2 linked regions of the Caenorhabditis elegans genome follow. The protein of the gene in region 1 purifies or fractionates together with the protein of each later gene. This does not show direct contact. Each region holds a gene or a part of one and is shown in the gene's direction. Other genes may lie near its edges.

The links.
Region 2: the proteins of pwp-1 (region 1) and T16G1.6 fractionate together in Caenorhabditis elegans (co-fractionation; one large-scale study listed by BioGRID). This does not show direct contact.

What each region holds. Positions count from the first base shown.
Region 1 is NC_003282.8:13,232,311-13,238,399, reverse strand, and holds pwp-1 (WD_REPEATS_REGION domain-containing protein), read left to right. Parts: upstream 1-1,814; 5' UTR 1,815-1,819; coding exon 1,820-2,260; intron 2,261-3,287; coding exon 3,288-4,046; intron 4,047-5,060; coding exon 5,061-5,264; 3' UTR 5,265-5,380; downstream 5,381-6,089. Other genes in the region: tag-115 (SAC3/GANP/THP3 conserved domain-containing protein), read left to right, coding at 609-1,104; C48D1.5 (Glycoprotein), read right to left, coding at 5,426-5,611.
Region 2 is NC_003283.11:12,934,940-12,939,248, reverse strand, and holds T16G1.6 (CHK kinase-like domain-containing protein), read left to right. Parts: upstream 1-2,074; 5' UTR 2,075-2,089; coding exon 2,090-2,245; intron 2,246-2,287; coding exon 2,288-2,680; intron 2,681-2,725; coding exon 2,726-2,975; intron 2,976-3,019; coding exon 3,020-3,123; intron 3,124-3,176; coding exon 3,177-3,338; intron 3,339-3,386; coding exon 3,387-3,461; intron 3,462-3,511; coding exon 3,512-3,667; 3' UTR 3,668-3,711; downstream 3,712-4,309. Other genes in the region: T16G1.5 (CHK kinase-like domain-containing protein), read left to right, coding at 1-108, 162-560, 605-854, 953-1,056, 1,105-1,266, 1,314-1,388, 1,434-1,592; T16G1.7 (CHK kinase-like domain-containing protein), read left to right, coding at 4,231-4,309.

The sequences.
Region 1 (6,089 bases):
TTTTTGAAATTTTCAACCAGAAAGTCGTATTTTCAGGTTGAACGAACATTTTTATTTCAATTTTTGATTAAAAACTAGATTATCAATCTGAAATTAACAGTTTTTCGCCTAAAACGCCAGAAAGAATTGAAAAAAACGGAATTATTTTTAATTCTCCATATTCGATTTGTAAAATATATTTTCGATTTTTTCGCAAAAATTGATGTAAAACTGCCGATTTTTAGACCAAATCTATAGTTTCAGTCAATTTTTTCGAGTGACCAAGTTTCACCAAAGCCTAAATCTTGGCCATCCAATAAAAATTGACCGAAGCTGTAGATTTGGCCTAAAAAATCGGTGATATCGGTGATTAAAATAAATTTTTAAGCGGAAAAAATGCCTGAAAAACCGAAAAAAAAAGTTTAGCATTCGAATTATTAGGGAAAAAAAATAAAGAAAAAATCATGAAATATAGCCGGAAAACGCAAAAATATCGAAACTAAGTCACTTATTTGAGCGGAAATTCAGAAATAATACTTTTCTATTTTCTAATTTAAGTTCTCTGTGATTTTTAGCAAAAAACCACAGAAACCTTTAAAATTCATAAAATAAAATATCTGATTTTTCAGGTGGTTTGAAGAAGTCTCGAATTCCACTGATATTATCCCGAATCCCTTGATATCGGCCTGCTTCTTCTTCAGACAATTACATCGAAAATCATCAATTCTTCATGATCTCTACCTATTTCGTCGGAAACTACCACACGAATCATTTAATCTCATTCAAAGCATAATATCATCATTTTATTCCTCAAATTATCGCCGATTTTTCGATATTTTCCAACAACTCGATCCACTTCTCAAGCACTCACTCTCGGATTGTGTCTCAATTCTTCGTCAATCAGCGATGAAAAATATATCCGTGGCATTCAAGACTCCTGTCGCTAGGCTTCCATCTCAATTGCTATCCGATTGGCTTGGATTTCCAGCGAATCTCGAATTTTTCGACGATTTTCTTCGTTTGTACAGTGTGATTCCTGATGAGCAAGGAAATATTCTGATTTCTGCTCTACGACCACCCGTGGAAATTTCGTATCAAGATTTTTCTTCGAGACAATATGAATAAATTTATTGTGATTTATTGGATTTTTAATATTTTTGAATTTTTTTGTTATAACGACGCTTCAAATGCGTATTTGATACTTGTCAATTAATTTTTTCTTTGGTTTTTCAGGAAAAATCGCTTTTTTAAAATTCAAAAGATAAAAAAATGACCGAAATTTATTGAAATTTAAGTTTTTTTGTTAAAAAAAAAGCTTTAAAAAAGCAAAAAATATTAAAATTGAGGTTTTTTTTTCTTTAGAAAAAGCGAAAAAAATATCAGTTTGAGATTTTTTTTTTCTATAAAAAGTGAAGAATATTAAAATTTAGATTTATTTTCCCAAAAAAAAAGCGAAAAATATTCGAATAAATATTTTTTACGAAAAAAGCGACAAATATTGAAATTGAGATTTATTTTTCCAAAAAATATTCAAATGAAGATTTTTTCCAAGAAAAAAAACCGAAAAATATTGAAATTAAGATTTTTTTCAAAAAAAAGCAGTCAAAACACATTTAAAAATGTTGAATAATTCTCAATTTGAATATTTTTCGCTCTTTTTTGGAAAAAAAATCCAAAAAAAAAACGAATAATATTCAAATTGAGTTTTATTTTTCCAAAAAAGCGAAAAAAAGTCGATTTCCCAACATTTTTTAAAGGAATTTTCTTCTTTATTTTCTCATTAAAAATCAGCATTTTTATTCATTTTTATCCGATGAAAACGCCCAAATTTCCAGAACTAATGGATGGTGTACTGATGGTATCGGATCTATCATGGATCCAACGTGGAGTTGCAAAAGAAATTCCAGACAAAATCAAGTTGGACGACGAAAAGCTAAAAGAGCTGATCGAAGGAGCAATTCCAGAATCAACTGATAATGAAACAGAGCTTGACGATGATGAAGAATCAGATAATGAGAAATTAAAAGGACTACGTGGAAGAGGAGATGTTGAAATGAAAGATGAAGAATCAGAATTTGAAAAGAAATATATGAAAGGATATAATGAGAATATCAAAGATGAACCAGAAGGACAAGATGGAATGAAAGGAATTGCAATGTATTCAACGAATAAAGATGATCCATATGTTACAGAACAGGTTGATTCTGATGAAGAAGAGGAAAAAGATGAGATTATGGTTCGAAAAGATGATAATATGGTCGCTGTTGCCAAAATTGATAAGGTTACTTTACTAGAATTTAAATAAATTAAAAAATTGATCTAAAATATTCAAAATGACAGAAAAAAGTTAAAAATCAGGTTGAAAATTTTTTGCACATCCATTTATCCAATTTTCGTATTTTTTTTTGGTTTTCATTTTGAGCTAAACCGAAAAAAATTCTGAAAAAAATTTTTCATCGATTTTTTACCTTTTTCCTTTTATATAAAATAAAATTTTTTTTATTAAATATATTTTACATCAACAAAATTATTTTTCAATTTTTAGATAACAAGAACATTTTTATTTATCAAAAAAAAAAAAACATACAAAATACTTACGAAACTGGGAAAAAAACTAAAAAAAAAACTATAAAAATTCCACTTTAAAGGCGCATTTTTTTCGCATTTATCGAAAATTTGTCGCGTCGAGACCGGATACCGTATTTTAAACGAAAAATCGATTTTTTTTTTGCGTTTTGATAATATTGAGCAAACTAAATTAAAAAAAAAAATAAATAAGAAACTGAAAAGTCAAATTTTCAAAAAAACAATAAAAACTTTCGAAAACTAGTTAAAATTTATAACAATTAGGTTAAAAAACCGAAGAAAAATGAAATTAAAAAATTTTTTTTAAGTGAAATTTTCAATAAATAGGAAAAAAATAAAAACTAAAAAAAATACAAAAAAGCACTATTTTCAATAGTAAAATTTTGAAAAAAAAAAACGAAAAAAGTTAAATTTAAAAAATAATGAAAATTTCAAAAAAACTATTGTAAGAAAAAAATTAAAATGCTTTAAAAAATCGAAAAAAAGAGAAAATTTTCAAAATTTCAAAAAAAAATCTCAAATTGTAATTTTCAAAAAAAAATGGAGGTTAAAAAAATTTAACCTAAAATGTTAAAAATTAATTTGTAAAAATTGTTTAAAAAACCGAAGAAAAATTAAATTTTCACAAAAAAATATTAAAAAAAGTGAAATTTTCAACAAAAACGAGAAAAAGAGTATAGAGAAAGTTTAAAAGCATAATTTCAAATTCCTAATTTTTCCAGGGTGACTTCACACTCGAGTGCTACGTATACAATGAAGCTGACAGTGATTGGTACTGTCATCATGACTATATTCTCGATGCTCCACCATTGTGCATTGAACCAGTTCAACATGATCCAGGAAACGAGGAAACAGGAAAAGGAAATCTACTGGCCGTCGGAACAATGAACTCGGAAATTCATATTTGGGATCTCGATATTATGAACACTGCAACCCCGTTTTTGACTCTGGGAAAAAAGGAACGAAAAGTGAAAGGAGCTGCACGAAAGAAGCGTGATAATAGTGCTCAAGGACATACTGATGCAGTTATTTCACTTGCTTGGAATCGAATTACAACTCATGTTCTTGCTAGTGGAGGTGCTGATAAAACAGTTGTCCTGTGGGATCTTGATGAAGCTAAACCGGCTCAAATCATTCCTGATCAGGGTGGAGAGATTCAGACAATGAAATGGCATCCAAATGAATCCACATTCTTATTGCTCGGAACTATGAAGGGACAAGTCAACGTTGTTGATTGTCGTGAATCTTCTGGAAATGCTTCAGCCGCGTGGAAATTCGATGGACAAATTGAAAAAGTGATCTGGAATCATTTTAATCCATTCACCGCGTTCTGCTCGTCTGATGATGGAAGACTTCGTCATTTGGATATGCGGAAACCTGGTGAATGCCTTTGGGAAGGTGTTGCTCATGATGGTCCGATTGGTGGACTTACTCTTTCTGCACTTACTAAAGGATTGCTGGTTACTGTTGGCGAAGATGAGGTACTAGAAATGCGCTCGAAATGGAGAAAAATTTAAAAAATTGAAAAAATTACTCCGAAAGACTCAAAATTACTAGAAAAAGCTAAATTTCCCTATGAAAAAAATTCCCAAGAAAAAAAAACGTTTTTAGAGCGGTTAATTTTTTTTCTGGAATAAAAAAAAATTTAAAAATTACTCTAAAGTACTCAAAATTGTACTTTAAAAAGTTAAATTTCTTAATGAAAAAATTTTCAAAATCCTTTTTTCTGCAAAAACATGATTTTTTTTCGTTTTTTTTTCAATCCCGAAATTTTTGGTCAAATCGGCAAAATTGGTTAAAAATTAGTGTTTTTGTGATTTTTGCGACAAAAATTACATTACCTATGGTCTCGGCAGTTTTTTTTGTTGAATTTAAAAAGGTGTGCGCCTTTAAAGATTACTGTAATTTCAAACTTTCGTTTCGTTGCGGAATTATTTTCAATCGATTATTTTCATAGTTTTTCTCACGATTTGTTAGAATTTATGTGTTTCTTTGAGTTAAAAAACAAACAAATTATAATTGAAAAAAAATTACAGTACTCTTTAAAGGCGAACACATTTTTAAATTCAACAAAAAACTGTCGTGTCGAGACCCGAAATCGTATTTTTCAAAAAAAATTGCATCCGGATAATATTTAGAGTTGAGAAATCCAATTTTGCCGATTTAATCAAACGAAAAAACGAAAAAAATCAAAATTAAAAATTCCAGAAGTATATATTTTTGCAAAAAAAAATCTAAAAAGTCGTATTTTTAAATGAAAAATAATGCAGGCGTCTAAAAACTTTCGTTTTTACCGCTTTTTTCTAAAAAAAATCCTCAAAAAATGAGAAAAATGACCAAAATTTGAGGCGATTTTTGGAAATTGGAAACAGCCAAAATTTTCGATTTTTCGAAATTATTATAAATCTGGACGAAAATTTAAAAAAGTTGTACAATAGTCACAATAACTCAAAAATGTTTCAAAAAAAAACCCCATCGAAATCAAAAATTTCCAGATGATGAATGTTTGGAAAGTTGAAGACACCAATGGAGGAATCGAAAAAGTTCATTCGGAGAAGCTGACCATCGGAGAGCTCCATTGTGCTCAATTCAATCCAGACGTGGCAGCAGTTCTTTCTGTTGGTGGAACTGCCGCCGATTTGATCCGTATCATCGATTTAACCAAATACGAACCGGTCGTCAAAGCATTCTCGGAATGAAATCTCTGAATTTTTGCCTTCTCTGTTTTCCAGTTTTTTTTTCGCCTGTTTTTGTTACGTTTGTTCCTGTTACACTTTACCAAGCTTTGTTGTTGTAATAAACTCTAATTTTGAGTACTCAAAAAAATTCAAAATTTATTATTTACATCCAAAAAAAAAGATTAAATATCAAAAATAATCGAATCTTCATCAATAAAAGGGATATTCGGATGAGAAAGGCTCAATTTGTCGGGAATTAAATTTGGAACATTTTCACGATTTTTGTGAATTCCAGTGTTTTTGCGGATCCGGATGCATGATAAGACCACGAGGAGAATAAGGAAAAAAGATATGATGATAAATCCAATCTGAAAATAAATTTTTTGAAAATACATTAGAATTTGCTGAAAACTTTGAAAAATTGAAAAATTCCTTTTTTCTATAATTTTTTCCGATTGAAACATAAAAAAGCCAGAATTTATTTTTTAAAAATTTTTTAAAAGAGAAATTGTCCATTTTTCAATAATTTTTGGGAAAAATCTTTTTTTGAGAAAATCAAATAATCAAACAAAAATTTCCAAAAAATTATCGGAAAAAATCGGAAAACTGTAAATTTACTACTTAGACGCGAAAATTTGCGATTTTTTGCGTTCTTGGTCTCGACGCGACAAATTTTTGGTTAACGCAAAACGTTGTGCGCCTTTTAAGAGTACTGTAGTTTCAAAATTTTTCTTTCGTTTCAGTGGAATTTGGTCCGATTTTTTTTTTTTCATATTTTTCCGTTATTTAACAGTATATTTATTTCACAGTTAAAATGCGATGTGCGCATAGTGCTTTCGGCGTGGA
Region 2 (4,309 bases), on another chromosome or scaffold:
GAAACTCATGTCAAGTTGGAAGATATTCAAATTCTAATTAAAGAACAGATGAATACTGATTCAAAGCTTGGAGAGAAGACCAAATTAACAGTGGTGGGAGATGGAAATGTATGTTCTTATTTGTTGTAGCTGTTCTTCTTTTGCTAAATATTTAATTTTAGGGATTCATGAGTCGTGTGGTACTTGTGGAAGCAGATTGGACTATTCCTAACGAGAACCTTCCAGAAAAAATCATATTAAAACTGACATCTTGTATCAATGTTCACCACCTTGTTTCACAGATGAAAGAGAAAAACCCAGATGCATTCACTGAACAACAAGAAGCTGAATTATGGGCCATGTTCGAAAGAGAAGCTCAGAATGTGCACAATCGAGAAGTCAATCTCTATAGGATAACTGAGAAATGGAACAAGAATGACGCGCTGTTGAGTCCAAAGATTTATTTCTACAAGAAATTCGACTGTGAAAACAAGACTCAGGGAGTTTTGGGAATGGAGTATGTGGATGATGCTGTTGTTAGGCATCTCTATTGTAATGCAAAACCACACGAGTTGCATCCAGTTAGTTTGAATGATTTAAACCATAAATTAAGCACAGCATTCAGATTTTACAATCATTGGCAACACTTCAAGCGGGAAGTCTTCATTTAACGGAAGATGAAATCAATAGTATTTCTGGATATGATTTTAAATCAATGGTTGGAAGAATGATGAGTGAAGAAGGAATGAAGCAAATGTACACTCGAGCACGTCAAATTAATCCGGAACGTCTGACAAAACCTACAGATGCAGTCGAAGCATTAGGAATGGATATCGTCAACTTTGAGATTTCATGTCATGTGAACAAGTACGCTGGTGAGTTCTGGTTTTTAATTTATGAGAATCAATCAAATCATAACTTAAATAATTAAACAATTATTTCCTTGTTTGTAAATATAATTTGGAAATTTTAGGCATTCAAAAAAATGTTCTGGTTCATGGAGATTTATGGGCAGCCAATATTTTGTGGAAAGAGAATGATGGAAACTGTGTAGCCAGCAAAGTTATTGATTATCAGGTAATAAATTAATAAATTATGAAAAACATTTTTTTATAATCGTTTTAGCTCATCCACATGGGAAATCCAGCAGAAGATCTTGTTCGTGTGTTTCTTTCCACGCTCTCTGGTGCTGACAGACAGGCTCACTGGGAGAAACTTTTAGAACAATTCTACGAGTATTTCTTGGAGGCGCTTGAAGGTAATGAGGCTCCTTACACACTCGATCAGGTAATAATACTAGTTTCCTTTATCAATACTGATTAATTTACTTCCAGTTAAAAGAGTCATATCGGTTATATTTTGTTGGTGGTGGTCTTTTTGTGATGCCACTGTTTGGCCCTGTTGCTCAGGTAGTCAATACGTACAAGTATTCTCTAATAGTTAATTAATTACAGGCTAAACTTTCGTATTCGACTGATAATGAGAACGTGGAGGAGTATCGTGAGGTTCTCACTGAAAAAGCTGAACGTCTCATGGAAGACTTAAAGCGATGGCACTTGTACAGTAAAGATGTGACAAAGGATTTAGAAACGGCGGAAAAGTTGACTTTATGATAAGAATACCGATAAAATTATGAAATTTCTCGAAACTTTTGAATTGTGAAGCAACTTCTTAATAAAGTAACTCATTGACTTTAATTTTTAAACCACGGCTTAGAGAAAATTAAAAATCAAACACTGCAGCTTTTTTGATGCGAAAATTCATTGATATGGAACAAACCTCAAATTTGATAAATAATACAATAATTTGTCAAGAAATCACAAAAACGTTCTTTTGAAATGCAAGTTATAAGACATACGCAAGATGTTATGTCGGTGGCTGGTTTTAACTATAAAATACGAAACAATTGACCTCCTGACACAAAATTTCCGAGCTTGATTTGTCTGATATCATTTGTGCTTTGGAATTATTGTTTCATGTGCATAAAATCTACACTGTGTTCATTCACGATAAGAAGAATTTCAGACAGAAACCACAGGAGGTTCATCGATATAAAATGCTAATCATTTGATTTAAAGAACCATACTCTTTTTACTCTCGTCGTTAAGAAATGACTGCAGAAAAATTAACGATTCTCGATAATGGAGAAGGTTTATTTCAAACACACGTTTATGTGAAAGATGTTCAAGAAGCTATTGGAGAACAGATGAACACTGAGTCAAGACTCGGAGAAAATACCAAATATACTGTTGTTGGAGACGGAAATGTAAGTCTAAATTTTTGAATGATATAAACACTGAGATTTCAGGGATTCATGAGTCGAGTAGTTCTTGTCGAACCGGAATGGACCATTACGGAAAATCATCTCCCAAAGAAATTTATTTTGAAAATCTGCTCATCCTTACATGTACATGGAATTGTTGATAAAATGAAAGAGTCTAACCAGAGCATAAATGAAAATGAAGAAGAGTTGTGGGCAATGTTTGAAAATGAGGCTCAACATCTTCATAATCGAGAAGTTAACTTTTACGTGCTAGCTGAGAAGTGGAATAAGCCGGAGGAGCTTCTCAACGCGAAAATATTTTTCTCGAAGAAGTTTGATTCTGAGAACAAGCTCAAAGGATTTTTGGGAATGGAATATGTCGATGATGTGACGATCAGACATCTGTACTGTAATTTAAAGCCGTATGAGTTGCATCCAGTGAGTTTTCAATTATCTAAACTGTATCTTTTGTTTTATTCTAAGGTTCTAAAGGCAGTTGCACAACTCCAAGCCGAGAGCCTTCACTTGAGTGATGAGGAACTTCAAAGTATTTCTGGATTTGATTTCAAACAAATGATGGGTACGATGTTCAACGACGATGGTCTAAAAGGGAATTATAAACAAACAAGAGATATTAATCCGGAACGTCTCAAAGAGAAAACCGACATTGTTGAAGCGTTTGGAATGGAAGTTGTCAATTTTGAATTTGCTGGTAACCTAAATAAAGTCGTCGGTGGGTAAAATGAGAATGATATTCTGATGGTAAACTTTACTTAGGAATTCATAAGGATGTTTTGGTACATGGTGATCTTTGGGCAGCCAATATTTTATGGAATGAAAACGATGGAAAGTTTTCCGCAAGCAAGGTTATTGATTATCAGGTGAGACTTTGAGATATTTCGAAGAAAGTCAACTAGAAAAATATTATCATCAGATTATTCACATGGGAAACCCAGCTGAGGACTTGGTTCGAGTTTTCCTCTGTACACTCTCCGGAGCAGATCGACAAGCTCATTGGGAAAAGCTTCTTGAGCAATTCTACGAATATTTCCTTGAAGCCCTTGAAGATAATGAGATTCCGTACACTCTTGATCAGGTAAGAATCAACCTAACTAATAGCCGCTTAACATATTTTTGATTTCAGCTTAAAGAATCTTATCGTTTGTACTTTGTAACCGGAAGTCTTGTAATGTTGCCACTGTACGGACCAATTGCGCAGGTACAATTGAAAAAAACAACTTGAAGTTTTTTACAAGAATCATTTTTCAGACAAAACTATCATACTCAAAGGATACCGAACATGTCGAGGAATATCGTGAAATCTTGACTGAAAAAGCTGAAAAACTTCTTGAAGATATGGAGCATTGGCATTTTTACAGCAGAAATTTGACAGGACGCCAAGAAAAAGATTCTGTGACTAATTAATTTATGATTTAATATGTATGAGATTGATATAAATGCTTACCTAGAAATACCTGATTTAGTGAGTTCAAACAAAATCGAACACGCAGAGGATTGTAGCAAAAACAATAACTTCCTTTTTTGTTCAAACGTAATAATCTTTCGATGTTCTAGTTTTTGGTTCATAACAATGTTTGGCCAGAGAACAGGAAGGATGAGGATCATAAAGTGGTACAGTGTCAGGGTATTGTGGTTTTTTGATTTTTTTTTTGTCATCCATCCGTAGAGAAAAATGTATATTTCAGGAAAACTAATCCTTTATACCCTTCTTAACTACACAATTTGACAACAAAACTGGTGATTAGTATAAATTTTTAGAAAACTAAACTCTACATAAACACACGTGATTGAACTATAACAGACGACCTCTTTTTACCACTAATTCTCTCACAATTGCGACATAAAACCCACTGTGATTTTTTTGTGTGTCGATAAGGAAAGCGGCAGAGACCACACCGTGCTCTATAATATAAAGTTGACAGCCATTTGTCGCTTTCAGATTCAGTTTTGATTGGAGTGAAGAAACGATGACAGAGGCTGAGAAGAAATCAACGATTCTTGACAACGGAGATGGTTTATTCCAGACTCATGTTCAATTGGATGATG